Linked DNA regions of Alligator mississippiensis. The protein of the gene in region 1 purifies or fractionates together with the protein of each later gene. This does not show direct contact. Links are inferred from orthologs where the notes say so. Each region holds a gene or a part of one and is shown in the gene's direction. Other genes may lie near its edges. The genes, in order: LSM1 and LSM6.

Region 1 (15,199 bases):
CTTGACTTTTGCTCCTGCCCCAGCCTGCTCTTGGACTCTGCTTGCTAACCCTAACATTGACTTTGGCTCCCCAGTACTGGTTCTAATGCTCTGGTCCTCCAATCTGGTAACCCCAATCCTCAACTGGTACCTGACAATAGTGAGAAGCAGGAACTGTGGAGTCTGTTTCTCGAGCTCAGGGATTAGCAGCTGGTAGCTGGAGAGGCAAGCTGCACTTTGCAGTGCACTTGCCAGGCTTTGGTTGAGGAGGGCTGTACTCAGCACCACCAAGTACCTGGCTGTGAGCATTGCCCACCCCAGGCAGGCTTCCAGAGGAAGCACCCATTGTTGTCTGTGTCCTGGCTTCCTTACCTGTGGTGGGGAATACCCTGGGACGTGTCTCCTGAGAGAGGAGCTTTCTGCTGTGCAGTCTGCTGTGGGGTAGTTCCAGTGAGAAGCTGGTGATGGAGACCTGTACATGCCTGCAGATTCTGCAGGGTAAGGGGGCTGTGGGGGCCCAGAGGAGTAGTAAGTGTTTGATTGTGCCAAACTGGGATAGTGTGCAGGAGCCGAGGGGTAACGGGTGCCATAGCCTCCATTTGTGTAGGGAGAATCCAGCCCCTGAAAAGCAATCAGAGAAGGTACTAAGAACCTGGACTGGCTCTGGGCTTCTAGGTCTGAGAGTACAGAAGCAGAATGGTTTGGACAGCAGTAAGAACAGCATTTTAATTTTTACAAGTCAAGAAATAAGGTATCCAACCCAATCTGGTTGCTGAGGGATAGTTCCATGCATCTACTTCCTCACTTGGGGGATTCAGATCTTACTGTGCAAGTAAGGGTGGAAATTTTGCATTGGAAAAATGCTGGGGTAGAAAGAAACAGGACAGGCTGTTAGCAGGGGAGTGCCTGTGACCATATTACAGATCTAGAAACTGATGCCTCTTCCTTTGAGGAGATGACTGTTAAGCCTTATGGAGATTGTGATCAGATGCTAAGTATTGGGCAAATGTGAAGCCTCCCAAAGCCCTATCAGGTAGGACAGCATTGTTTTCCTCTCAGCCCACTCCTTCTGGCCCCTTGCTGGAATCCACTTCATCATCATTAGCCCTAGAGATTTGGATTTTTCAGACCCAGTCTGGAGCTCTAGTAGCTCACTGACCATTTAAAGCTTTTTGACTGCCTACAGCCTGTGGACAGAGAGGCTTCAAAGCCTGGAAGGTTCCCAGCAGTACCAAGAGCTCCTCCTGGAGACACTGTGTGCTATCTTGGTCACCTGCCATGTACTCATGCAACAGTGGACATCAGTGACCCACTCCCAGGCCCTTGGCAACAGGGTGCAGGGGGGCAATGATACAGCATACAGAATGCAGTGACATCAGCCTGAGCTGAGCAGAGGGCTCCATGTGTCAGAAAGGCTGCTGTTACGGTCTGTAGCAGTGCAGGTCTCTGAGAGAAGTGCCCAAATTTGCTAGTTGGTTTTGTCTCCTCAGGACCAGAGCCCTGTCTTTAGGCAGGGCCAGGGGGTGACATTGACAGGGTCTTACCTAGGAACATGGTTATGTGAAACATTTTAAATTCAGGGTTCTGAATAAATGAAACCCAGCATTAGCAACAATTTATCATGAAACAGGCAAGCAACTTGCACATAGTAAGAACCTCTCGGCATAAGTTATACTGGCTCCCCAACTTGTGTCCAGCCCGAAACATTAAATACAATGAGGTGTCCTACTCGGGCCCACTGTCCTCCCATCCTTCCTATTTGGTTTCTGCTCCTTGTGAGCCCTCTGCCTGGGTCCTAAGACTTTCATACAGGACCTCCTGTCCCCACAGACCTCTCTAGCTGCGTGGACCTCTGGCCTGCTGGCCCAGCTCTTGGTCACATGCTCCCATCACAGGCCCCTTGGTTTCTGGAAAGTCAAGCCTACTTTTTCACTAAACTATGGAAAAGAAATTTCCCCTGAAGGGCTCGGGCAGTTTTGAAATCTTTGAGAATTGTGTGGCAATGAAACTGATCACAAATTGCATTTGACCTACATGTGATTCAGCATCATGGGCCACTGTCTCCAAGGGAAGTCTAGGGGAGATGGGATGGTTGCTCCAAGTGGAAGAATACAAGACTGCCACAGTGAAACGCCTGGGGCACTTGGGTATGGAAATCAGTCAGGATTGAGGGGTCTGCCACTGCTTTGCTCTGGACTTCAGACAAGTCACAGTTCCCTTCCACCCTGTAAAACAAACAAAATCCTGCCTCAAGCTGTATGAAAGAAGAGCATGATGTAGGTGCTGAGCATTACTTCAAAGCTGTGGCTCAGTCCAGGACTGTCCGCTAGACGTGCACTGATGCATGGATCTCATACCGGATCAGTACCCATATAAAGACAACTGGCTGTATCAGAAATCAGCCTGACGCAGCCAATAATTTGGCCGATAAATGCTCGTGCGCGCGCACGGCTGCAGCGCAGCACTCAGGCAGCGAGGGACAGAGCTGTGTGCAGCTGGTAAATCCGTTGTGGCGGAAGGGGAGGGAAGGAGCATGGGGGGTGGGGGGTGGGGGGACGGATGACAGATCAATGTCCCCCATGGTGAGGGAGGGGGCAGGTGCTGCCCAACTGGGGTGGGGCAGGGCATGGGACAGAGCCACGGCTCCCGGGGAGTGCGGGGGTGGCTTCCACCGCTGCTTGCACCCCAGGAGGGCATTGGGGGGGGGCATCTGCCCCCAGATCTGTGTGGGGTGGGCAGGTTGCAGCTGCAGGCTGGAACCAGGGCTGAGCCAGGCTCTTTTTGGCAGGGGCTGGGGCTCAAGGTGGGAGCTTCGAAGAGGGCTGCAGCCAACCACAAATTTTGCTGTACTCCTACTCCCAGCACTGCCGCAGCCCCAGCTCTTCCCGGCGCGTGGGTGGAGGCAGGGCGTTGTGTCAGGTCTGTGGCAGTGGTGCTGGGGGCAGAGCTACAGCGAAATTTGGGGTGGCTGCAGTCCCCTCCCGAGCCCAGCCCCTGCCAAGAAGAGCTTGGCTCCAGCCCGCAGCTGCAGGCTGCCAGCCCCACGCAGATCCGAGGGCATGTGCCCCCCCTTCCCCCCCAAATGCCCTCCTGGGGTGCAAGCAGCGGCAGGAGCTACCCCCGCCCCTCCAGAGGATCCAAGGCTCTGTCCTGTGCGTCACCCCGCCCCAGCTGATCAGCACCTACCCCCTCCCTCACTGTGGGGGGCACTGATCTGCCCTACCACGCTTCTTCCCTCCCCTCCCCTCCCCCCACAATGGACTCACCAGCTGCACACAGCTGTATCGGAAATCGGATCGGTATCGTTCGATATCCCTCCTTAAAAATCAGCTATCGGTATCAGCCCAAAAAAATCTCTATCATGCACCTCTGTCTGAACTTTTTATAGGATATATTTTTGGGGGGAAAGTGTTCTTCCTGCTGTTTGTGCACGGCTTCCTCCAAGCAAGGCACCCCTGCAACAGCACAGGAGAGACCTGACAGAGCAGGGGCATCTACACCAGATGCTACTGCACAGTCGTTACTGCACGTTTATTTAGTAGTTGTATAAGCAAGTGCTAAAATAATGTGCAGTGACCTGAGTTACTGCGCAGCAGCGCCAGCAAATGCCTTTTTTTGTGACACTACTTCACTGTAGTGTCGTTTCGCTGTTTTTGCCATGTGACGCTACAGCGCAGCAATACTGCAGTCAGTGTCTCCTGTAGATGTGGCGAGTTATGGAACCAGAACATACAAAGTACTGTATTCTGCTGCTTCCCTTCCTCTGCAGAGGCAGGGCATCTCTTGGTTAATGTCTGCCCTCTACTGGGGATAGACCACTTCATTACTATTATTTATTCAGGCCCTAACCAGTGTTGCTGATTCTTAGCTACTCTCTGTTGGTAATTTTGCTGGGCAGACACTTTCCTGCTCACATGGCTCCCACCTTCTGTTGTGTTAATCTCTCCGAAAAGGAGGAACTGACCAAGGTCTAGTCCTCCCATGCTAGTTTCCAAGCCCCAGGCCTTGCCTGAAGAACCCTGCTTATTTGGCTGTAAAGTACCTGGCAGTGGGGACCATGGCGTGTTACCTCACATGTGTTCCCTGAGGGTTTGTCACCCTTAGGCCTACTGAGTAGCTCCTTCAGTTCTCAAGGCAATGAGAATCCTAGGTTCAGCCACAACTTTTCAAACTATGCTTTCCTTGTTTAACACTTTTGAAGTTAGAAATGTCTACAAAACATAGCAAGGCTCTGGATGGAATTGGGAAAAAATTCTACTATTTGTCCTTGCTGCCAACTCCCCTCTCTTTTTCTACTCCGCTTTTTAAAAAAAAAAAAAGAGCTGGAGAGGGAAAAGTAGGGAAAAACAACGAAGGAAAACCCAAAATATCATTATGCAGCTTATTGGGAGAAGATGAAATAACCAAAGGTGTTCCTTTTCAGAACCAGTGGATCTTTTTCTCCAAGAATATACTGGCTTAGCTTAGTAACGAGTGTCCATACGCCAATGCTGCTGTTTACGATCAAGGTGTGTTACACGTACTGTAGGAGCATCCTAGGTTCGCTGGGAGGGGCACCGCGCACATGTGGAAAACCTCTGCATTAGTGCTCACAGTAATTTCCAAATAGCAGCTGGCCTCTGTAGGCCCCACAGCTCAAGCTCTTTTTCTTATGTGGCTTGCATCTGCTAAACTGAGCGTGTGAAATGCTGCTTCCCCAGTCACGAAGAATGCTTTCGCTGTTTATGAGCATGAGAATACTTTAAGACTGCCAGGGAAGCAATATGGTCACAATCATTCTTTAAAATAGATACCAAGAACTTGGGAGTGCTCAGAGGAGAACTCCCAGCACAGCTATAGTGGAAAATGGTGGTGAGAGGCGCAAACAAGCCCCAGCACTGTGTGCTACAGCAGCCTACACAATGAGAATTCACTGCTGTGGCTCAAGCGTTAGATGCGAGCATGAAACCCCTGAGGCAGCATTTGTCCTGTCACTAGGAAGTGCCATTTAGCTACTGTTCGGAGCACTAGGAAAAGAAAATGCCAGATTGCTTTGGCATGGAAAAAAGCTTTTCACGCAGGTCCCCACTATGCTGGGAAAGCTCTCGCTTGGGTGAAGATGGATGCTAGTTTCTTCAGGAGACAGGATAAAGAAACCGGAAGATACAGCCTAGTGTTGGGGGAAACCAAGAATTCCAACCATCGGGTCTAGGCAAGGAGGCAATGACATTATCCACGGGCTTTGAGGGAAAAGCAGCAGAGTACTTCAAAGGACTGTTCTAGTATCAAGCAGCAAAAGGTATTTCCCTGCTTGGAGCCCCATGCTGACGTCACAATTTCTAGGGCAACCCAAAATGCACAGCAGGGACTGGGACCTGGATTCTGTCCCATTTCCAGGACTGACTCACTGCACAGCCTTTGGCAAGTCACTACAACGCCCTGCCCCAGTGTTTATGAGCAAGGGCTCATAAAACACGATTAATACCTTAGTATAGGTGCTATGAGACAACTAATTGCTTTAACTGTATGCAGAGCATTTAAGTATCCTTGGCTGAAGGCCATTGGCAGGGTCTAGCATTATTCATGGGCCACCGGTGTAAAAATAATTACTCCAATTACCGTTAGTTCACTGGCAATGGGACATGGTGCTTTGTGCAGAGCATCTAGAAGTAGCCAGCACCAGCAGGCAAGGGGATTCAGCCACAGTTTCAAGTATGGCTGGTGCAGGTGTTTCAAGTTTCAGCTTCCAGCTGACACTCAATATAATGCTGTGGTATCTAGGAAGTAGCATTTCCTGAAGCCAATGCAACACGGAGGAAGCAGCAGAAGTCCCCAGGGCTTGCCTAAGTCTGCCATGCAAGCCCTGCATTTCTAAAATGGCTGGTCCCTTTGTTTGGGAGGAAACCAGCCCTTTGACTGGAGTCTTCTGGCTCAAACTCCCACCCAACCAGACAAATTCCTCTGCTTCACAGCAAACAAGATGGGAAGGTCCGTTGCCCAACTGTACCTGGCCTTGTAACTCAGCTCCAGCTGGATAGGGACTTGGGTAGGGAGCTCTGGACTGGGCCGTGGAGTTCCAGTAGCTGGAGGTGTATCCAGGATACGGTGGCTGCTCCTAAAGGTGGGGTGGGAAAAGGAGGTAAGAAAAGCACTAGCAGAAGATTACCTACCCTCTCAATAACGGGGAGAGAACTCACCGCAAAACATGCTGGAAAGCTGCAAAGGAAGAGTGTGCACAGTAATAATCAACTGCACGCTATATCTGTAGCACGCCATGGCAAGGAAGGGCCTGAAAACATACTATGGCCTCAAAACTATTATGAAATGCTACTCCACTCTATATTTATAGACCTTCTCACCTCTCCAGGCTGGCTGCCAGATTCACAATTCCTCCCTTGCCCATGCCGAGACGGCACTGCGAAAAGGAGGCGTTTTCCAGCAATTGTTGAAAGGAAAATTCAGGAGGAGATTGGATATGCATCTAGCTGGGGTCATCTAGACCCAGCACTCTTTCCAGCCTATGCAGGGGGTCGGACTCGATGATCTATTGAGGTCCCTTCCGATCCTAACATCTATGAATCTATGAAAAAGCTGTAGAAGAGCAAGGGCATCAGTGGAAGCATGGCACAGCAGCCTCGATGTGCTAACTGACTCAACGCAGGCTCCCAAGTATGGAAATCACACAAGAAATGCTTAATCAAACTGCACAATAGGCTGAAGGACCCGGGAACGTAGCAGCAATTGAGCTCAACTACCTCTCAGCACAGCTCTTCTCTTCATTGGCAGCTCAGAGGCTAGCTGTCCCTGTCGTCCTGGAATGGAAATATCTCAGGACTGGGGCGTACACGTTGCCCTTCAATAACCGGGGTTTAGCGGCCAACTGACCGCACGTCTGCTTTTCTGCCGTTATATCAGCGATGCAGTGCAGGGATAACCATTCAGACACGCGCTGCGATGTGCTGGGACAGACCATTAGTACTTCTTAACCTGGGGCAATGGATGTGGACGTCTGAACCGCTGCACTTTGTCCTGGGAGAAAATGGTCAGTCCTAGGACGTCTGCAACCAAAGAGTCCTTTCCGTTGGAGCTGAAAAGCATCCAGACGAAGGGAAGGACAGCAAAAGTGCACGGCGACACCCGGGCTATTCCCCTAAGAATTTCTCCGAAATCAGTAACATTTGTCAGGTGACTTATTTGCATTTTTTTTCCAGCGTGCGGTAACTTTTCAGTAAATACGGTAATTTTGAGCCTCTAAATACGGTAATTTCCTATTTTCGACCTGGCGGCGCGAGGGGCCGGCTCTGCCCGAGGCCCGCCCTGTCCCGCCCCGCCCCGCCCCGCCCGCGCCCAGGCAGCTGCGAGCCCTTCGCTCCCCCCAGGCCTCCCTGCAGCCCCGTACCTGCGCGGGCCGCTCCCAGCCGCCCCCGCCAGCCCAGGCGGCGGGTCGGGGCTGCGGGCCGCCGCGCGGCTCCATACGCCAGGGCGCGGCGGGCGACGGCTCCTACAGCAGGCGCCGCAGGGCCGACACGAGCGGCGCCGCACCCGGCCCACGACCCGCAGCCAATCAGCGGCGCCTCCGCTTCACGGCCACCCCCGGACCTCGACCTCTCACGGGCCGCCTCCCTCCTCAGCCAATCAGCGGCGCCGTTCTCTCACGGCCGCCCCCACCCCCCAAACCGCTTCCCCTCCTCAGCCAATCAGCGACGCCGTTCGCGACCTCTTCCTGGGCCCGCGCTCCTCAGCCAATCAGCGGCGCCGGCACCGCGCATCACCCCTCTCGCCTGTCCCCCCCCACCGAACTCCTTCCCGTCATCCCCTGCCAATCGCCAAGCTTCTTCCCTGTCCAACAGCGCGGCCAATCAGAGGGGCGGCTGTCCACTCCGCAGCCCGCCTCCTGCATGTCTCAGCCAATCGCTTTGCGGGGGCCCGTGCGTCGCCTCTCGCTTCCGCCAATCAGGCTCGGGGCGAGGCGGCTCCGGCAGTGCGTAAAGCGGCCCGGTGAGGCAGCGGTAGCGGCGCCTGCTGCGCGGGTGGGGCGGGGTAGGGCAGGATGAACTACATGCCGGGCACTGCCAGCCTCATCCAGGACATCGACAGTGAGTGGCGGCGGCTAGCAACTAGTGCACCGAGGGGGCCCCGAGCAGAGCACGCCGCGCAGGCCCGCGACGGGGCCTAAGGAGCTGGTGGATTCTGTCCAGTGAAACTGCCCCCCGTCCCCTATCACCCCAGCAGACTTACCGCCGCTGCGCTGTGCCCCCTTTCCCCTTGGCTGCTGCTATTGTCTCCCTGCATCTGTACTGCAGGTGTAGCCTGCGCAGTGTACAGGAGACCTGCGGGAATCCAGTGCTTCAGAAATATTCCACCCTCCTCCGTGCCCCTTCCTGTTCTTTTCCCCTTTTAAAAATTTCATTTTTTTTCTTTAACTCTTGCATAAAGAAAAGCTCCTCCTCAATTTGCCTGCCTGGTGCTCGCAGCCTGGTGGCCTGACTTGCAGCTCCTGGACTTTCCTAGCAGCTGCAGGTGCTCAGGCTGCGTGACTGAGGCCCTGGAGACGGAGGCGAATACCTGGCCCCTGAGGTCCTGCAGCAGCAGCGAGGGGCACAAGTTCATGTGGCGCTCTGGGAAAGCTTTCTTGCCCACTTACTCCTTGAGTGCATATGTTGATGATGATGATGATTGTTGCCTTGCATGTAACTGCTGACCTAGCTTTTAATGTCTTCCAGAAAAGCACTTGGTCCTGCTCCGCGATGGTAGAACGCTGATAGGATACTTAAGAAGCATCGACCAGTTTGGTAGGTGACAGCATAGCTTTGGTCTTGGTCGAAGCCCCCTGCTTTCTTATGAGTGCTCTCTAACCTTGTAACCAGCAAACGTACTGCACAAAACTGGCCCGGTGCAAACCAGCATTTTATGGGTGATGATTAGGAATCAACTTTTGGCATGTGACGGGGAGAAGCATTGCGCCTTGTTAGAATTGTGTTTGCACAATAGGATTCATGTAGCCTTGGAGAAAGCAGGGAGTGCTCTTTAGAAGTGGGTGTTGTTTCCCACATAACTGTTTGGGACAGAAGTTGGTGTCAGATGGTGGAGTACAGAGTGCTACAAAGAAAAGAGAGCAATTCTCCCTTTAGGTGCATGTCCTTCATCTCCTGCTGCATGCTTAAACACTTCCTGATGCTCTGGTTTGGTAGTTAGCCATCCAGACTCCGCTCTAAAGAGGTGTTTTTATTTTATTTTTCTGTTCAGAGTTCACTGGCTCTGGAATCCTCCAGTTCAGCTTTTCAGATAAAATAGTGTTGTCATTTTGGCATTTTTTTAACTTCACCACAAGAGGGAGCCACATGCCTGGTGAAGAGTGCCCCATAATGAATGGCCAAGGTGGCAGGGAGCCAAGTGGCCCAGATATTTTGAATGCTAGTAAAAGTAGCCACTAAGTGATGTACCTGAAGTGCTCAGGAAGAGCAGAACAGCTCACCTGGAGTGGGGGGCACTAGGCTTTCTGGTTGTGGGGGAGAGGTTTTATAACTGTAGTACACTGCTAATAGCGTAACCTAATCCAGAGGTGTATGTATAGGATACATTTTAAGAAGTGGCTTGTGAGTTCTGGCCATTGGTCCAGCTGACACCAGACCTTCAGCTGTGCATGAACTTTTTCCCCATTGTAGTACAGAGCACTTAAACCCAGCTCTTTCATGAAGGCTTGGGTTTTTGGCTTCCAGCTGAGCTCCCACAGTCCAGCTTTTTGAATCGGACTCCCAGGCTTGCATCACCCTCCAGACTATGCTGCTTCCCGTTGTGCTCTGGGATGAATCAAAGCAGAGCTGGGGAGTTCGCGTTAATCTTGGGGCACAGTTCATTGCCCATTGCACAGAGCCCAGTTTCTCTGTTGACTAAGATGGGAGCAAAAGCAAACCTGTAGCTCCTGTCCTACTTCTGTTAATGTGACTTGGCAAACCTTGGATCCCATGGGGCACATAAGAGGCCCCACTGGGTGTGACTGTATCTCCATCTAGCCCAGCATTCTGTATCTCAGTGGCAGAGGGTAGACACAAAGAGAAGGTACACTTATTATGCAAGGCCAATGCAGAATCCAGTGTAGTCCCTTCCCCTCCTCCCTTGGAGCTTCCAGCACTCAGTGGTCTGGCAAGTGCTACTTGAGGCTGCACCCCTGACAATCCTATTTAATGCTGACTGATGGACCTATCCTGCATGGATTTGTCTGATCTGTTCTTGAATGATTGCTTCATCAAGTCTGGGCAGAGGGTGTTGGTCATTAGCATAAAGAGCAGGATGAGCACTTCAGTACAAGTTCAGCAGAAGAGCTATATTGCCCGTTAAAGAGGCAGTGACTTAATTGTAAGCAGCAAGTTTGCACTTGACAAGTATTTCCTGTTTCATTGGCTTCCTGTGTGATGTTGTGGAGAGTAACAGATGTGCCATGTAGAATAACAATGCTTGCTTCTGCTCATGTGCCAGTCATGAGCAGCATTGCCTGCTTCCTTGATTCCAAGCAATCTGGACTTAAAAAAAGCACTGACTGTACTCTGAGTGGTGTGAATCAGCAGCCTGTACCTTCTTTGCATTTCTCTTGTCATTTGAAAACTAGCACTTTTAATATTCTTATTGGGGTAATCTTCTCTTTGAATTCACATGGAGAGCAGCTTCTGGCTTTATTTGAGATCAGCTGGTTTACAATTAAGGTGCGGTGCTGATAGCAGGTGTTTATTGCTGCAGGTCTTATAAATCCAATGACAAAAAAGTACTTAAGAACAGTGTGGAGGTGCTCTTGCTGTCCATGGCTTGCTAAAGCTTTTTTCTGAAATCTGGCCCATGTGTCTTCCTCTTCTGGCTTTACCCTCTCTGTTTGGCAATGCTCATCTCCTTCCTTATTCAGTGAATGTCCAGGGAAACCCTCTTAACAGTATGGGACAACTGGACTTTAATGGCTGTTGAAGACACAGGGAAGGCCATGTTTTTGAAGGGCTGATACAAACACTGATGTCAAACTCTGCAGGAGCCAGTCACCCTAAATATAAACATATTTTATGTTCTGATCATCTCTGAGGCTGACAGTTGAGTTTCATATCCTAGGATAAGCATAGCTGCAACGAGAGACCTCCTAATCAATCGTGGTCTGCAGCAAACAGTGCTGATCAATAGGCAGATAATGACTCTGACCTCTGGGGCTGGGGTACTGCGTTGCTGCAGTGAAACTTCTGAAACCCATAGCAGAACTGTTCGAACCAGTGGAGCTTTCTGTAAGAGGTAATGTTAAATGTGGAGTCCCAGTGCTGTCCCTCCCAGATATAGTGTAGTGGAGAAGCACCAGACTCTTAGGCATGTCAGTTCCTGGCTGCCACTTCCCCTCATTGATGTACAGCACCCAGTATGGTGCAGCTGGGGTCTCTGTATACTTTTGTCATACTAAATGCTGCATGTAAGTGGTGGATGAAACTGCTCTTGCTGGAGTGAGAAGCCTTGAGGCAGGGAGGTGGCTTTGCCAGGTGTGGGTAGCCTTTGCTTTTTAGAACTGCAGCTCCCCTTGCTAGTGCAGACAGGACCTCCTCTTGCATTAGAAAGCGAAGTAACGTGCATTTCTTTCTCTCTGCAGCCAACTTAGTGTTACACCAGACTGTGGAGCGCATCCACGTGGGCAAGAAGTATGGGGATATTCCACGTGGCATCTTTGTTGTGAGAGGAGAGAACGTCGTTCTCCTGGGGGAAATAGTACGTAAGCATCTCTTGCTTGTCTGTGGTGTGCTCTTTGGCTTGCAGCACTGGCTTGGTGACTGCCTAGACATGATCCCTGCCTCTTACAGCTCATGGCTGTAGTTGCTCTGAGAAGCATTACCAGCAAGTGTGTTATTGGAGCTGGGTTTCACAAGCAGATGACACTGGGTGTATCCCTTCCGCACTTGGGGAAGCGTGGAGCTGGCCCAAGTCTCTGTTGTGAAATGCCATTGCGCACATACTGAGCCAAGCCCAGGGGAATTAGGTAATACTCTGGCTCAGCTCTTGGCACAGGGCTGTAAGCAAGAGGTGCTGACCCTGTGACTGAGCACCTGTCTTTAATATCCTTAGAGCTCTGCTGGTCTACCCTTTTAAATACATTTTACAAGACCACATTTTATCCCAGCACTTCAGAGTGCTGGAGAAATCTGTCATTCAATCCCACCCACTCAGCACTAGCTGTGAGTAGTGTTGCGCTAAGCAAGTCGCACTGCACAAAGATGGAGTATAGATTGGGGGGGAGGGGGTTCCTCCTCCCCCATTCTGAGACATTACCCAATGCAGCATTTTCAGTGTTGAGAAGTGAGTGAACTGCCAGTCCCATATTGAACCTGATATGGTTTAAGCTAAAAAACAGGAGGAGTGGGGATATAGCCCTCCTGTTTGCAGGCACTCCTCGAATACATGCAGTCCTCTGGTGAGTGGATCTCCAGAACTGGGATGTTTTAGACTGATATCAGTTTGTGGTTGTGTTGGAGGACAATAGAGTAGGTTCATTATGAAACTGCTAAGGACCAGTTGAAAAGCAAACTCCGTGATTTCAGTATGTACATTGCATCAGTCCCTGCTTCCCAACAGTGATGCTCCTGTTGAGTGAAAGGAGAGCTCTTTCTCTGTAACGAGCTGACTCCGTCCCTTTTGGTGTATCATCTTCCCTGGCCCTCTGACTGGAATAATGGCGTGAGCCAGGGAACAGGGTGGTGGACAGCATGATGGTACCTCCTTGCACCTCTGGCTTGGTCTGGACACACTTTTGTGTTGCTGGAAACCCAAAGTGTTCTTGATGCTGATGGAGGTTGGGGGAGAGGGGGTAGGTATGCTGCATAGCTTGGTTTATCACATGCTCTTTTCTCAAGTATTTTCAAGTATCAGGATTTTCCAAATGAAGGACAATATTGTAACTGAAGTCATAGATCCAATAGTTGGGTCTGGCGCACAGGGATAATGTGATAGTATGGGCAAATGAGTACATTTGTTGAGTTAGTTGTAAAGGGGAGGAGGAGCTTCACACCAGCTCTTCCATGATAAATCAAAGTTTATTTAGTCTGTTTTCCTTTGGAGTCCACTGGCCCAGATGAGTTCACACTTTTTGTGGGATAGGAGTGGGCACCTTTAAACTGTTTCTGCAGAGCAGCTGATGCACACTTAGTCTTCCCCCCACTTGTAATTCGGTGTTTGTTTTCTGACTTTTCCAAGGCCAAAAAGTTTGTCCAGACCAGGAGGGAGAACTCAATTGTTCCTGGCTTCCAGGTCTGTTAGGCCATGTGGCCTCTTGTTAAGGGCTGGCTGCATGTCAAATGGAGAGTGGCAGCATGTATGGGTATTGATAGCCTTAAGGAAAGGCTGAAGCCACTGACCTAAGTTTTCTTTGGCCATTGGGCTGAGCTGGACCTCCTAGTACTCTTCCACCTTCCCTTAAGTCCTCCTGTGCTCCTGCCCAGTACAGGAAATTCCAGGAGGCTCATGAATGGTCACACATGGCTGTGCATGTGGCTGAATCTCCAGGTGTTTGACTTCACCTGTGTCCAGATTGTCCCTTGGACAGCAGGACCTTGGGTCCTGGTATGAGCTCCCTCTTGACAATGCTAGCTAACCAGTGTTTCTCTTGCAGGACCTGGAGAAGGAAAGTGACACTCCTTTGCAGCAGGTTTCAATAGAAGAGATCCTGGAGGAGCAGCGGGTGGAACAGCAGGCCAAGCACGAGTCAGAGAAGTTAAAAGTGCAGGCACTGAAGGAACGGGGACTTTCCATCCCACGGGCAGATACCCTTGATGAGTATTAGGTGTTGTGCCCTATGGACAGTCTCCATGACTCAGATCAAGCAGAGTGCTTTGTGTGCAGATGGGGCCCTTGCAGCTCTGCTTTGAAAGTTGGCTCTTCATTTTGAGCATGTGTTTTCTGTAGCACAGAAACTGGTTAAAAAAAAAATGCCTTGTTTTGTAATCCTTATTTCTGAAGCACAGACATTCTGGTGGTGTCTGAATGTGTGCTGACAAGGCTGTGTGCTCTGGAGGGCTTGAGAGCACGTGTTCAGGGAAACCTGGTGTTTTGTTCTGTTTTTGTTTTTATTCTGTTTATCTGTGACTCGAGGGTATCTGCTCCTCAGCATGTAAATAAAACCTGGATCGTGATAATATAGCCTACAGTGTCCCTGGCCTCGGAATTGACTGTGCTCGCGTCTCTCTGGACTTCTCCCTGCTGAGGTGCTACAGGATATGCTAGGGATGGCAGTGGACCTAGGGCGACCTGGAGCATGCTTCCTGCCAACGACAAACTCAGCTGAGGGGTGGGATTAAGCCTCTTTTATCAGCAGAAAGCTACTGCCTCACAACTTTAAAGACAGTATTTCCAGAAGGAAGAGCAGGAGTCAGCATTCACAACCTCGAGTCGGTGTTTGGTAGCAGCTTTGGCAGATCTAACCTTTCTGCACCACTGCCTTGTCGGAAAAGTGACTCTAAAGACCGTGCCTGTTGTGGTAACTCTTCCATTCCCAAATCCTGCAGTGCTCTTGTGAACACAAACCATTCCTCTTCCATTGAACTGAGCCTTGCAGCACTTGACTTAATCTATTGGCTCTGTCTGCTAAGTCTGCCAGGCCTAACTCCATCTAGCCTGACCTCTACGATGTGTGCCAACTGCTTTGCTTCTTTCATTTTGAGTGTTAAATGTGATCTCTGCAATCTCTTAGTTTTGCTTAGATGGCTCAATTTGCAAAGAGCTGGATGGCAGGGAGGTACCTGTTTGTCTGCTGGATTTGGGATATTCTCAGCATTGAAGCACTACAGTCAAAGAAAGTACCTCTTGCCTTTCTATGCCATGTGGCAAAACAACTGGACTACCAAATTGCAAGCAGCTGCCAGACTTCTGAAGCCTCTTCCCATTAATCTCCTTTGCAGGGAAGACTGCTTCCATGTGGATGAAAGGAAGGGCCCCCCAGTGAGGCTTGTGCAGCCTTCCTCCAGGGGGAGCTATAAATGCATGCCTTTGTGCCACCGTCAATTGCTGGGATTCAGAGTAGTAATTGTAAGGTTTATCTTTGGCAGCAGCTTGGTCAGTATGGGCAGAAAACATGCTCCTGCTAACCTACCCCATCTTTCTAGCTGTCTGCAGGGAACAGGACAGTGGGTTATTATTTACAACTGTAAATGTCTGGTGCAACCATCAGTGAGAGCCAACATGAGTGCACCAACTCCTATGAGAGGATTTCATGGTCCTGTGTTAAGGCTGGGGC
Region 2 (14,566 bases), on another chromosome or scaffold:
GTTTTGGTGTTTCGTATTGCTGACCCATTTTGTTTTGGCTGAACTTGTTTCAAAGCCCAGCTGGGTGGGGCTGCAGGGCCTCAGCGGCGAGTAGGACAGGGCCATGAGTGGCTTGTCCGGGGGAGGGCCACTGCCCTCTGTGCAGGTGAGGAGATCCCCACGTGGATCTCTGATCCCTGCAGAGCCAGGTCATGCAGCAGGAACCAGCACTGCTGTGCCACATGACCTAGCTCTGCACAGAGCAGAGATCCATCCCAGGGATCTCCTTCCTGCCGCTGCCCACCCCATGCAGCCCCAGATCTGTGCTCTCTGCAGAGCCAGATCATGCGGCAGGGACCAGCACTGCCCTGCTGTGCAGCCTGACTCCACAGAGAGCAGAGATCTGCACTGGGGATCTCCTCCCCACTGCTGCTCACCCCATGCAGCCCCAGATCTGTGCTCCCTGCAGAGCCAGGTTGTGTGGCAGGGACCAGCACTGCCCTGCTGCATGACCTGGCTCCACAGGGAGCAGAGATCCATGCTGGGGTCTCCTTGCCGCCACTGCCTGCCCCATGCAGCCCCGTGTCACTGGAGTAGCGGGGGGCAGGCAGTGGCGCGAGGAGACCCCCCTTGCGGATCTCTGCTCCCTGCAGAGCCAAGTCATGCAGCAGAGCAGCAGCATACAGTTGTTTCCCTGCAAGCCTGGCTCTGAAACGCTGAAATTTTCTGAAACATCTCCGAAACATTTTGGATGTTTCGCTTTGTTTCGGAGATGTTCCTGGGCCTTCTGTTTTGATTTGGATTCAGTGTTTCAGGCACCAAAATGGCCTGACACACCTCCAAAATGAAATGGCTGCTGAAATTTTGCACAGCCATAGTTCGCAGTGGTGGTAGATGACAGAACAAGGAGCAATGGTCTCAAGGTGCAGCAAGGGAAGTTTTGGTTAGATATTAGGAAAAACTCTCTCACAAGGAGGGTAGTAAAGCATTGGAATAAGCTATCCATAGAAGCTGTGGAATTTCCATTAAATTCTTGGCTGGGATGATCTAGTTGGGGATGGTCCTGCTGTGAGTAGGGAGGGTGGACTAGATGACCTTCTGAGGTAGGGATTCCAACCCTAATTTTCTGATTCTCTGATTTTTTGCCACAATTTCCTCTGTTCTTTGAACAGCAGAACAGATTCAACTTCTAAGACCCTACTGTTGCCTGTATCATCCTGTTTACTCTATTTTCCACTAATTATAAACTGGAAGTGCTCAGACTGAATCCAAAATCAGCTAGTGAAATCATCTTGTCGTCATAATTGTTGTTCTTGTGTATTTAAGTATTTCTTCTCATAAGCAATAGACAGTGCAGTGTTTAGAACTCTTTAAAACTCATTTTCTGAGTTGTGCAGCCCTCTGTGGAAAGACTTTTCATTTTCAGCTGGAAAAATCTTATCTTTGAATCGGTTTTTACTGTATTAAAAGGAGAGCGAGTGAGTTGAGTGTGTCAAATATCACTTTGTTTTTTAAAGTTGACTGTAACGTTTTAATTATGTCCTCTGCGCAAAGATTCTGAAATGCCTTGTGTTTAAGGTTTAGAATAGGAATACGTACCACAGATTTCCATCATTAAGCGTAGTTGACAAAGGCCAACACAACTCTTTTCCTTGTAACCATTTATATTTGAGGTGAAGATGTTAATATGGAAATTTTGTGAGCAGGGAATGACTACGAACTCTATCACTGTAATTTATGACCTTTCAGCTAAGGCCAATGTAAAGGCAACTGCAATTGTTTTATACCTCAAGGCCAGCACATAGCAGATGTATGAAATTTGGAGTGTTAGACATAAACTTTTATTACCAAATTATAAATAATTTCTACCACTTACAGTGTTCACCTTTCAAGTTCATCGTGATTAAAACACAAGGGCAGCTTCTCACTGATTTCATTGAATTATAAAACTGAAAAAGCTTTATCAAAGTTCACTGTGAAAGGCTAAAGCAATATGGCATTTAAAAGAATCTACTGATAGCAAAACACACAAAGTTTTTTTTAGATCTAAATCCTTCTTCATCTGAAAGGCTGAGACAAAAAAAGATGTAATCACTAGCTGATTAGGTCTTAATTTTATTTTCACTTTGAAACCTTTAAAAAGTAAATTAAATATGGATTATGGAAATCTTTCGAAGACCACCTTTCTGAGGTTATTTAGATTTTGTCACTCAGGCAAAGTAGCATTCTTTTAGGTTGCCCATTAACAGATGCGCTTACATAATCCCTCTGAATATATTAGCAGAGGTATTCAACAGCTTTTCATCCCAGGTGCAAATCACACTACAGCAAAATGCTTGACAATAGGGGTCGTATTATACAGAGGGCAATTTATCACAAAGAACAACACATAAAACACCTTCATACCCTAAATACTGCACGTTATCAAGGTCAAGAATGAGGCTCTGGCTATGTGACGCAGTCTCTTCAACCCTAAATGATAGGAGCCAAGTGTGCTGTAGAGTTAGCAAGACTCAGTTCCCAGGTCTGAAAGTGGTCAAGTAGTGGATGGAGTTACCTTCAACTTAATTCATAAGATCACTAGGATATTAAGCAAGAACTCAAAGCTATTTCAGAAGGTAGCATCAAATATACGAGCATTCTGACTACAGAGCACCCAAGAGGTTAACAGACAGTGTATGTCAGGATTCCGAGGACTAAAGGTAAATGCACAAACCCCATCTCCTTTAAATGCAATTCACACAGAGATACTAGTGTAAACAGCAGCAATGGAAGGCCCACCAATCACAAACACCCTTGAGCCAGGCTTGCAAAAGTGTTACAAAAATTTACCAGTCCAGGCACAAAATCTATTTGCCCAGTCTTTACCCTGGTGATTAAAGATAACAGAAAAACTAATACTTCACCATCAAAATTATTGCTCACTGAAGACTAGTGGCCAAATTAAACCTTGTACGGCTGCTCCCAATAGTAACAATATTAGGTTCTTTTTCTGCTTCAACTACTAGATATAATCAAGCACAGTTGGAGGCTCCTGATTAATATGATGGTTGCCTGGCAACCTAATCACAATGTGGCTCCATTTCCCTGGCCTTGCCCATTCCTGAACTCCTAGGACAGTAAGGTGAACTTTATCCCGTTCATAGACCACGCTTGTTAAATCTCTCTTACCTAACCCTTTGAGAAAAGATATCACCAAAGAGTATAATAAAAAGATATGGGAAATGGCTCCAGACAGTAGAGAGAGGGATATTCACTAACCTATATTCCTTCACATTCTGCTCTCCTTTCTTTATTTTTATTTATAGTTTTAATAATATACTAATATAAGAATTATTTAAGAGTCTGGATGAGAATAAAATCCAATCTGAGAACATGCATAAATGAATCCAAGGCATACTGACATGATATGAAAGCCCTAAAGAGAAGGAAAGATTGCTCACTGCTAGGAGTAGAAGCCTGGATCCAGCAAAACACTATTTCAATTCACAAGCTTTCTGGGTGACCTTGTTCAAGTCACTTAATTTCACATCTTAATTTTCTCTCTCACATTAACAGAGTCAAGACTGAGACATTCAGATGCTTTGGTAATAGGAATCATATAACGCACAAAAATATTCTGGTATTAATAGCATTCCAGTTATATAATAGAATAGGCTATGATACCACTTCAGATAATTTTTCCATAAAAAAATCTATAAATTATTTTCTAATATAAATGTAAGGCATAAAAAAATACAGCCACATCAACAAATCAGAATTTACCTAATAAAGATTCAGTAGATTTGAAAGGTGAATTACCCTCAGAACATGCAGGCACATTTCTTAGTGGCTTTGTGTGAAATCAATAATGCTTTTGCATTGTCATAATTCTAAAACAGATATGACTTATGGTCTTTAACAAGGCAAAGTTACACGTCATATATAACAGAAATGCAATGCAGTATAAAAATCTCAGATTTAAGCGGTAAGAGTTTTTTCCTATGAGCCTGAGTAGCTTTCAGCAAATCAGGAAATAATGCACATTAAAATTCTGACAATTATTTTTTCCCCTCCTATACCTTTCAAATTTGTGCATAATTCTCTTTCTCTTAATGGGAAAATTGAGCAGTACTGTTCCTTTGCTGTTGAAGAAGATGACAAGAGAACAATTCTGGGAGATTTTTTTTCAGAAGTTTGCTGTTTAATTTAAATACCTTGGATATCTGATGAGGAAGAATCTTTGGGTCTCTTCTTAAAACCCTGTATAGCTCAGGTTGAAAAGCGGGATGCTTCATATCTCAGTTTTGTTTCAGAACAACTTAGAGCATGCTAGATTCTGTTGCCCAACATATTGTGGAAAAATTCAAAGGGAACTGCAGCAGATGGATTCAGTACAGGCACAGCTGTGGCTCTGCTTTAGAAGAATGACAGAGATTAAGGGTTATGCATACCTGGGGAAAAACTGTATTTTGGGACAAGTTTAACTGGGAGAAGATGCTAAACAAGTAGCAGCCCCTCCCATCCAGTGATAATGATCCAAGACCCCTAACTGGTGGAGAGGCCTCCTACTGGCATGCCATGCCTTTATAGAGTAGGGATGTTCAACCTCCAGCCTGAAAGGCCATGTATGTCATTTGGTCCGTGGGTGCTGCCATGGGTCCAAAAAATTTGGCAGTTGGGGAGTGGTGGCAGTGTTAATTGCAGCTTCCTTGCTGCCAGATTTCCAGACCCATGGGGAGCTCTGTGCCAGATGACATACCTTGTGTACTAAATTATGCTGGTGTGTGGGGTCAAGCCAGTTTGCAGCCAGATCTGGAACATGGGGTCCGGTCACTATGCAGCAGGATCAGACCGGTATCAGACACTATGCAGCAGGATCAGACTGGTCAGTAGCCAGATCTGGTGCATGGGGTCAAGATGGTGAGTGGCTGGATCTGGTGTCCCAGATTGGGACATGTGTGGTGTCAGGCCAGTATACCAGATGGTACCCACAGACCAACTCCATGCATCGGGTCCAGCCCATAGACTGGTCCCTCACCACTCCCCAGTCTCTCACCACTCCCCTGGCCTGAGGGGCTTAAAGATTAAGCACCACTGTTATAGAAGTACTACTGTTATATTATTTCATAATAACAAGATCACTGTTACAGATGTTGTGTGGGCAGTCATGGCATGACAACTAAGAATGGGATGCTGAATAGACAGAAAGAATTAACTAGACTAGATGGCACTAAACCTAGAGTAGACACCTCCAGAAAAGCTTGAAAAGCATGCTGTAGACTCAGTAAGACGGGGTGGGCAAAATATGGCCCTTGGACAGGATCCAACCTACTGAGGGATTTTTTTCTGGCCTGTGGCAGGTCCCTTGGTTCCACCCAGCCCAGGGGCCAGCCTGGGCTGTGGTGCTTATGCCCAGTCCTGCCACCTCTGGGCACGCAGCAGGGCTATGTCCAGGGCTGAGACCAGGATCTTGGGGTGCTGACAGCATGGGGCTGGGGCCTGCACACCCCTTGCCTGTGGAACCCATGCCCGGGACGCAGGGCAGTGAGAGCAGTGGATCGTGGCTTTACCCTGGCCCCATGCTGTCAATGCCCCACAATGTGCCCTGTGATCCCAGTTTCACCTGCCTGTTTCACTCCTGGACACTGCTCCCTGCTCGCTCACGGACCCATCCCATCCACCCTGCCATGTGCAGAGCAAAGCCACATAAGGAGTTTTGGTGAGATGTTGCACAGGCAGGGGAGTGCTGACCCAGCTCACAACAGCTCACCAAAACTCCCAATATGGCCTGTGGGCCCAAATAACTGCACACCCCTGCAATAAAAGGAGCTTGAACGGCTGCAACTTCTGCTTTGAAAACAAAAGAGTACATTCCACTGCTATCAATCAAGCATCTTTCATAAGCATGGCACCCACACAACACATAATAAATAGAAATAAAATATTTGTACAAATACAGTTCATCTTAAGCACCGTTAGGCTAATGGGTGAACAGTGCATGAGGGAGATGTTCTAATATCAGCTGTAAGCAGGTATATGAACCAAACATGAGCATGGCTGGAAGGCATTCACATCACACCACCTGCAATGTTACCTTTCCTCTGGCATTCCAGCACCTCAGGTATGACCAGCTATAGTAAAAAAAGCAAGACAAAGAAGTCAGTGGTTTGGAAAGTTGACCATCATTTAAAAATATTTACAGCCTCTGAAAAGAGAAGCATGGGCCAGGATGCACATTCTGCAGGGATCTAAAATTAACAGTGTTGCAAGAAAGCACCAGCAAATTGAATGGGAGGACACCCTTCCTTACTGGCTCACAGCCCCATGTTAGGAAGGGCTGATTTACCATCCTCTTCTAGCAGAAGTCTGCCCGTGGAGAGGTGGTTGCAAACATGCCCCAGCACACATAGCTCAGGGGCAGATCCGAGGGAGTGCACTCACACCCCACTTTGATTCCTGCTCTACACAAAGTTTAAAATGAACTGCCTGGCAGTAGCAGCAGCATTTCTAGTCAGGCATTGCTCAGGGAGTCAATTGACTCGATAGCTCAGTATCATCCCACCTGGTTCCATCTAAATTCTTCATTCCACAGGTGTTAATGGCTTCTTTCCATGGGTCTTGATGCTCCACCAAAAACGCTATCCTTTGTTCTGCCATTCTGCTGTCTGTTCCCTGCTCCTGATACTGAAGCTCCTAATTCTCAGCTTTGCAGACTGTTTTTAACTCATTCCTATGAAGTTAGGTTTGCTTTTGCTTCATTCTTAAACTGAGTAACACAGCCCTAGGCCTGTAGTGTCTACATGAAGCTTCTAATTTCTTTTTAACTGAAGAAAGATAAATGCTGTTATATGTGATGATGCACCTCACCGTCCCCATGCCCCCTTTCCAAATTCCACGTCTGCATACACTTCACAGCACAAAGAGAAGAGGGAGCTTTAGGGGCAGAACGTGCGACTTTAACCTTGGACTCTAATCTGAGGCCTTCTGTATTAAACCAGCAGCTGACTATGACTAAGGTGACTGCTGGCATCCACGTCTTAGCAGCAGGAGCAGGCAGAGAGGGAGGCTGAGGTCCTCAACCTTTTTAGACTCATTAGCCTTTGGGAAATGCCAGCTCTTCTGTATCTCATCCAGCACACTACATGCCCTGATGGAAAATATGTAAGAGAAACCAAGAAATAACTGTGCACCAGAATGAACACACACCAGAAATCTATGAGAGACAGAAATACCCAAGCACCTGTGGGTGCACACTTCTCACAACACACCCACTCTCTCTCCAGTCTCTCACTTCTCATCCTCAAAGATAATGTACAAAACACCTTTCACAGACGAGCCTATGAACTTCACTTCTTCAATGTACTGGATACAAAAAATCATGGACTAAACAGACATTAGATTTACAGTACATTATAATCTGCCTGACCTTCAATAACCCCAGGTAACCTCTCTACATTTTACCAGCTACATTATCACCAGGTCAATAATCCCCCACCCCTACACCTGCCTCACACCTCTTGTCCCCCATGGCCTCTGATCCTCGCTGCCATTGCATTTGCATTTTTGCAGGCCTGCATTTTACACGTTGGCTTCTGTTCCATCCAGGAGAGCACGAAACATCCACAGACTCTTCCTGTGCCTGAAGAAGGGTGCTTGTGCCCAAAAGCTTGCAAAGAACAATTTCCCTAACTATTTAGCTGGTCTAATAAAAGATATCATTTATTGAAAAAGCCTTGTGTGCCTATGTCCTTAAGCTAACACGGCTACAACACCCCCCCAGCTCTTCGTTTTCGCTCTTTATTTAAGGACAGGAGAGTAGCAGGGCAGGGTTTCTGCTGCACAACCACAGCCAGGGCTTCCTAGGGGCCATCCCGGGGCTCAACCTGTGAAGCAGCTTGGACAGGATCCCAGGTACCACTGGGCCAAGACACCCTGGCTGAGCACCCCTGGACTAAGAAGACTTGCTGGGCTGGGCTGGGCTCGGCTTGGCTGAGCCGCCGTGCACGGAGCCCAAGGCAGCAAAGCAGCGGCCTCAGACCCTTAAAAAGGGCACTGGAGGGTGGGTGCGGAAGCTTTGCAATGGGCAGATCCCATTGGGGCGGGGGCGGGACCCTGCCGAGCGCAGAGCAGCGCAGCGGCTTCACGTGCTGGCCCCGCCCCAAGTCCCCAGCAGAACGCGTTCTTGTCCAAGCAGGGAGTTCTGGTCCCGGCAGCTCGCCGTAGCAAGGCGTTGATTGGCTGTTCGTGCGCCCGGCAGCTTTCCTAGCCAGCGGGTGGAGCAGCGCGCGGGTGAGCGAGCTAGGGCGCGCGGGGCAGGGGCAGGGGCCGGGCCGCTGCCGGCCAACGGCAGTGAACTGCCTGGCGCCGTAGCCTGGGCGCGGGGCGCCTCAGGCTGGGAGCGGTGGCTCGATGCTGTGGCGCGGTGCTGTGGCGCGCAGGCCGAGCTTGCGCATGCGCATGCCGCGGCGGCGGCAGGGTCGGCTGCTGCGCGCGCACCCCGCTGGGTCATGACCTGCCCTGCCCTGCCCTGCCCTGCCCTCCCTTGCGCGGGCGCTGACGGGAACGGGTGCGCGTGTTTGTGCATGCGTCTGCATGCATGTGTGTTGTGTGTGTGCATGCGCCTATGCTTTACATCTGTGCCGCACAGCACAACACGAGGATCAGGCAGTTTTCGTCCAGTTTTATTTTAGGAAGGTGCATTTCGGTCCCCCCCCCCCCACTGCAGCGTCCGACAGCAGATCCACGTCCCGCTCCCCAGAGCTGCCCCTTTCTTCAGTCTCCTGCTGCCCCTTCCGTCTCCTGGGACAGCCGCTGATAACTAACCCCTGCTCCTTGCTTTCCCCTGCCAGCTGCCTGGGGAGCTGCACCTCAGTGTCCACTTGGATCATCTCACATGTGTCATGGAGGGGCTCTGGCTGTTGCTGGCTCTGTTTTGCTAATTTTTCTCCCCCGTACTGGTCCGGAGGTGCCCAGCATTAGGTGCACAGTGGCCTCTTTGAGACCTGTGCAGGCAGTTTGCGACTGGCTCATGTCCAGCTTTGTGTTTACTGCCAGCCTTGGGTTTCTTCTAGGATTTTGGCTTTCCCCTCAGCTCTTTCCTCTTCTAATAACTCTTCCTTTAGTGCAGTGTTTCTCAGCCTGGGCCCTGCGTCACCCTGGAGTGCCTTGAGGCCCTTTTAAGGGTGCCGTAGAGTGTTAGCACTGTTTGGTGTGCAGGCAGCGTTCATACGATAAACACGGAGATTTCAAATGGAAACCCAGTGTCAAAGCCGTTCTGCCCTGTTGTGGTCTTGCAGAGGTCTTTGCAGCAGAAGAATTGCTCTGTTATTTTTCTCTGGTGAAAAAATAGTGAGATCTAAGAGCTGGCATTTTCCCAGGGGTGCCTCGGGTCTATCAAGGGGTGCCTCAAGCCTAAAAAGGTTGAGAACCACTGTCCAAGCCTGTTTAGTAAGGGTTTATTAAGGACCCCCCAAAAAAAATCTGTTGATGAAAAAACTGATTGAAAGGTTTAGCTGGTGTTGTCAAGTCACACCTGAGCTTTATCTTTTATTGCCTTTCATCTTCTTGTGATGACTTCTTTCATGTGCCCCTGGGGGGTCACAAGAAAGAATGACCATAAGCTAGCAGAGAGCAGATTTAGACTGGACATTTAGGAAGAACTTCTTCACAGTTAGAGTGGCCAAAATCTGGAATGGGCTCCCAAGGGAAGTGGTGCTATCCCCTACCCTGGGGGTCTTCAGGAGGAGGTTAGATAGGCATCTGGCTGGAGTGATCTGAAACCAGCACTCTTTCCTGCCTATGCAGGGGGTCGGACTCGATGACCTATTGAGGTCCCTTCCGACCCTAACATCTATGAATCTGTGTTTATTTTCACATTGCAGAGTAATATGTTAATAAGTTGGTAGGGAATTTCATTTTTCAGCAGCTTGTCACAGACTATGTATTTTACAAACTAGTCTCTGGTGTTCACCGGAACCCTTGTCAGTAGTCTGTCTAGAGTTGGCTGTCTTTACTAATATCCATTTTATTACTATCAGTAGTAGAAAGCTTCGAGCATGTAAAGCAGCTAGGTATGAGCACATGGCAGCTGACTCTGTTATAGGGTGTCTGTAGATGTGCTGGGAAGCTGCTCCAACATGCTGAAATTACAGACTCGATTAATTGAGTCTGATGGAGTTTGCCAATTAGTGTGCGCCATCCAGCCTCCACCTCTTGTGTACTGGTGTCCCCACACTTCAAAATGGCAGCAGGGGCACTTTAGACAAACTTTTGTTAACTGAGAGCTGTTCTAATTGAAGCCCTAATTAAAGCCCTTGGAGAGCTGCTCTAATTAAAGCACCCTGGAGCACGTGTAAAAATGCCAGTAGTTTTCAACTACTGAAGAGGAAGAGAAATGAGGCATCTACAGAGCTGCCATCCACTAGTACCTGCATCTGGTCCATGGGAAAAGGGAGTTAAGTTGCAGGGGAGAAAGTGTCCAGAGAAGAGAGAAGAGGACTAATCATATGTTGAAAAACAGAGGAGGAGAGTTAAAGTCTCTCAGATTTTTTCTGGTTTGAAGGTAGAAGATTGTTTGTAAGTAAATTCCAAAATACTCCTTCAGATTTCCAAGTAAGCGTTGTCTTGTCCTCCCCACCCCCTGCAGAACACTGACTTGGTGGGACTTTTCTATCACTAAAATTTACCAAGCGTTTGGAAACTAGCCATTGATTTTAGAGTTGTCATCTTTCAGATTTTTGCAGTTGTAATTCCTGCAGCCGTTAGAAGATGAGTGAATAATTCCTTGTGACCTCTGTAAGTGCAGAGTTCATAGGAAGGTTCAACAGGAACACTAAGTGGTTATCTTGTTAGTTGGCATCCTTTTATTTCCTTCACCATGTCTCCAGCCTGCTTCCAGAACAGTCTGATTCTGGGACATGTGCATCACATGTAGTGGAATGTTCCCCAAACAACCACACTCCCTCCAACATTTGTCTCTACCATAAAAGCATTAAATTTTGAGTGGCGTGAGAGAGCACTGATATAAGGTTTTAAAATAATTTTCTTTTATTATTGTGTGGGACCATTATTTCAGATGGTCTCCCATTTTTTCAGTACTAATTTCTGATCCAATGGCGTAAGCCCACTTTGCCATAAATTGAGTTTATTCATTTTCTGTAAGGAACAAAACATGGGTAGCCATGAACAGTTACAGTACATGAAATACATTTCTCATATTACTTTTCTGTTGAGCTTTTGTAGTGTGTGAGGACTACAGGTGTGTTATCACAGTACAAGGAAAAATGCTCTATTGAGACACTAGGTTTAGATGCCATCCAGCCTTTGCAAAAAGTTGAACCCTTGATTGAAGGGACACAGACTAAATTCTAATTCCTTGATCTCTAAGATATGAGGATGTTCAGAATTTTTTTGTAAAAGGACTGTGTTCATGCTGTTGGCTTCCATCAGGGTTGTACAGGCCCTATTCTGCTATGATGAACAGTGTTAGCATTGCTACTCTTCACTGAACTCATTTTCTGGAAGTTGAGAATGTAGAAGGGTGAAAAGCAGGTGGGTATTAGAATTGCCTTAAACTAGATACAGGAACATAGCCCAGAGTTAAGAGCATCTTGGATAATTTTTTATGGCTATTAATGAGGTATAGGAAGGGCCAGCTGATATTTTTTTAAACAATATTATATGAATGTAGACAAATCATTAAAAATGTCTTCTACAGTCTAGAATTTAGTGTCACTGAAAACAGCACACAGAGATGTTAAGGTGTAAACAGATGTTGCGTTGAGACACCAAAAAAAAAATCTTATGGCAGCACAAAGGCCAAGCCAACAGATATACATGCACCTTGTTGCGCCACACGTGCCCAACATTTGTGGTGTGACATAAGTGGTATGATTTTGTGCCACTGTTTTGCAGCAAATATCTGTTTACTTTAAGGCAGGAATTCCCATTCCTGGGACATGGAGGATCAGGCCTCTGAAGCCTCAGGAATATCTACCTGCGTTCTTCTGTTTGGGATTCCCTGGGTGCGCATCAATCCAGTATAGTCCCAGGCCTGGGACTGTCAATCAGCTGATCTCCTTCATTGAGTGAAACATGTTGCCTGTTGTCCTGCCTACTGCTCCTATGGGACACGGGGCAAAGTGTTGCCCACTTACAGATGCACCCTGGGAATCAGCAGTCTCAGCCCTGGCACTGCGCTGGAGCAAGTTCAGTGCTCTGGTGTGGTCCTGGGGCTGGGACCATCAATCAGCCAATTTCCCGCACTGGCCTTCTCTGCTTGCAGAGATTCTCCGGGGTGCATCTGCTATGCTAGTGGGGAACATATTGCCCATTGTCCCGCAGAATCAGTAAGTGGGGCAATAGGTGATGTGTGTTTCACTCAGTTATAACAGATCAGCTGTGGCAAGAGATGCATGATGTCTGTGTATATCTTTATATGTTAAGAGGGACTTTAATCTACATTTAGAAATACTGAGCCAGGTAGAACAGCTATTTTTTTTCATATTACTTTTCTGAAAGCAGCCTAGTTTGCATGGTTAAAACTGGCACAATTTTATATGAAAAAGTGTTGATATACCCGAGATGTTTACTACAGTGTGAAGCATTGCACTTGGAAGCTAGTGATGAAATATGCAGAAATGCCTATAAATAAGTGCAGTCATTAAGGACAGAGTCTATTAATATACATCAAATAAATGATTGGGAAGGATACTTTTAATTCTTTAAAATATTGTTCCTGCGAGGTTTGTATTAAAGTGAAACTTTGCAGATGAGAAGCCTTGATGCAGATTAGTCCTATATATGATTTTTTAAAAACTGAGATTATGTCCAGTGTACTATGTACAATCTATAAAAATACCATATGTACTCGATTAAAAGATGAGGTTCCCCACCCACCTATCTAATATGGGAGGTGGAGTTGGGGAAAGGCCCCTTGGCTTACAATTGAGTGTGAGGGGCTGGGGAGGCAGCTGCTGTGGCTCTGGCCTTGGCCCTAACCTGGGGTTGGAGCCAGAGCTGCAGCTGCTACTACAGGGCCAGGCTGGAACCAGTGCCCAATCCCCCTGCCTGCAGTAGTGACAAGCTGTCAGCAAAGGCAAATGGAAGGGCAGGCGAGGGGTAAAGACTTTGGGGAGATGGGAGGAAGAGGGGGTAGGGACCCAAGGCTGCAGGGGGCAGAAGCTGTGTAGAGGGGGAATAGGGGAAGGGGGATCGGGGCTCTGAGGCTGTGGCGGGCAGACACAATGGGGTATGTAGAGGGAGGGAACAGACAGCTGGAGGCCTGCCTTTCTTACTGCCTGTCCCCCCACTTCTGCACTGCATGTCCCTTACCATGTGTCTACCTACTGCCTGTCTCTCATTGGTCCTTCCCCTGCCTGCCCTATTACTGTCCCCTCATCGTGTCTCCCTGCCCCTCCCCCAGTAGTTGGGGGGGGGGGGGAGGAGGAATTTAAGATCTACAGTAGTTAGATTCCATACATGGAGAATTATAGTAAACTTATACATATTCTGTGTGTAGAATCTAATTATTGGGAGGAGTCATCTTAAATTCAGGGTCATCTTATATTTGGGCAAGTACAGTAATCATGGCTATACGTGGTAGAAAGTACTCAGAACTGCTTTTCTCATAATGATTTATGTACCGAAATGGTGCTAGCAGGTCTTTAACATGTATTCCAGAATGCATTCCAATCTGAAAAAAGAGGGCAATTGATAAATAGCTTTAAAAATCTTAACAAGCCTATTTCCTTTGTTTAGGATGAAACATTCCCTACCAAACTGCAGCCAGGTTTGGATGTCTTAGTAGATGCAGATGCTGCATATGTACCACTGTGCAATGGATTTAAAAAACAAATGAACATGTCTTGTAGAAAGAGAATACCTAAATGAAAGAATAAAATCAAAGTGACTTAGAAGAACGTCCAGAAAAAACCCAGACCAGCTTCTGAGTTCAAATTGCCCCACATATATAAAATTAAACTTGTACATTATACCCTGTATTATGAGATGATAATATTCTCCTTGATCTCTGGACTAGTAAATGACAAAGCTTGATTCTGAATGCTCACTCTAATTTTATTGAAATTATTGCTCCTGCCAGGCAGCAAAGCCATCTCTGTATGTTAAAGGTATGGCAATTCTGTATTTTTTTGACGTTGAAAATACTCATTAACAGTTCTCGTTCCCATAATTCTCGTAAGACTACTATAGTAAAAAGTTGTTATGAACTTCGTAAATTGCAATAAATTAAATGGAAAGTTTCATGCTGTGGCTCTAGTCTTTTCTCCTTGTTTTTTTTATCCACTTGGGTAACTTTTCCCTGGTAAATGCCTTGAGAGCCACAAGTCTGCCTCTAGCTACTGAATCTTTAAACTCTGTATTTGAGTTGCTTATCTAAGTACTTTCGCCTCTCCTCTTTTTTTTTCCCTCCCAACCTACCAGGACTGTGAAAATGAGCCTGCGGAAGCAAACCCCTAGTGACTTCTTAAAACAAATAATAGGAAGGCCAGTTGTCGTAAAGTTAAATTCTGGAGTGGACTATCGAGGTAAGTCTTTCTTTCACCCCTGCAATAAACAAGTAATATTTAGTATTATTGTTGATGAG

What was found.
Region 2: the proteins of LSM1 (region 1) and LSM6 purify together in Homo sapiens (co-immunoprecipitation; 3 studies listed by BioGRID and IntAct, counting the BioPlex papers as one, with this or other methods). This does not show direct contact. The link is inferred for Alligator mississippiensis from reciprocal best matches to the Homo sapiens genes LSM1 and LSM6.

What each region holds. Positions count from the first base shown.
Region 1 is NC_081830.1:18,346,445-18,361,643, forward strand, and holds LSM1 (U6 snRNA-associated Sm-like protein LSm1), read left to right. Parts: upstream 1-7,962; 5' UTR 7,963-8,008; coding exon 8,009-8,054; intron 8,055-8,681; coding exon 8,682-8,750; intron 8,751-11,569; coding exon 11,570-11,685; intron 11,686-13,579; coding exon 13,580-13,750; 3' UTR 13,751-14,106; downstream 14,107-15,199. Other genes in the region: BAG4 (BAG family molecular chaperone regulator 4), read right to left, coding at 352-600, 5,966-6,073, 7,358-7,432. UniProt on the Homo sapiens protein: Plays a role in the degradation of histone mRNAs, the only eukaryotic mRNAs that are not polyadenylated. Probably also part of an LSm subunits-containing complex involved in the general process of mRNA degradation.
Region 2 is NC_081825.1:100,694,429-100,708,994, reverse strand, and holds the start of LSM6 (U6 snRNA-associated Sm-like protein LSm6), read left to right. Parts: upstream 1-8,142; 5' UTR 8,143-8,250; intron 8,251-14,403; 5' UTR 14,404-14,413; coding exon 14,414-14,507; intron 14,508-14,566. UniProt on the Homo sapiens protein: Plays a role in pre-mRNA splicing as component of the U4/U6-U5 tri-snRNP complex that is involved in spliceosome assembly, and as component of the precatalytic spliceosome (spliceosome B complex).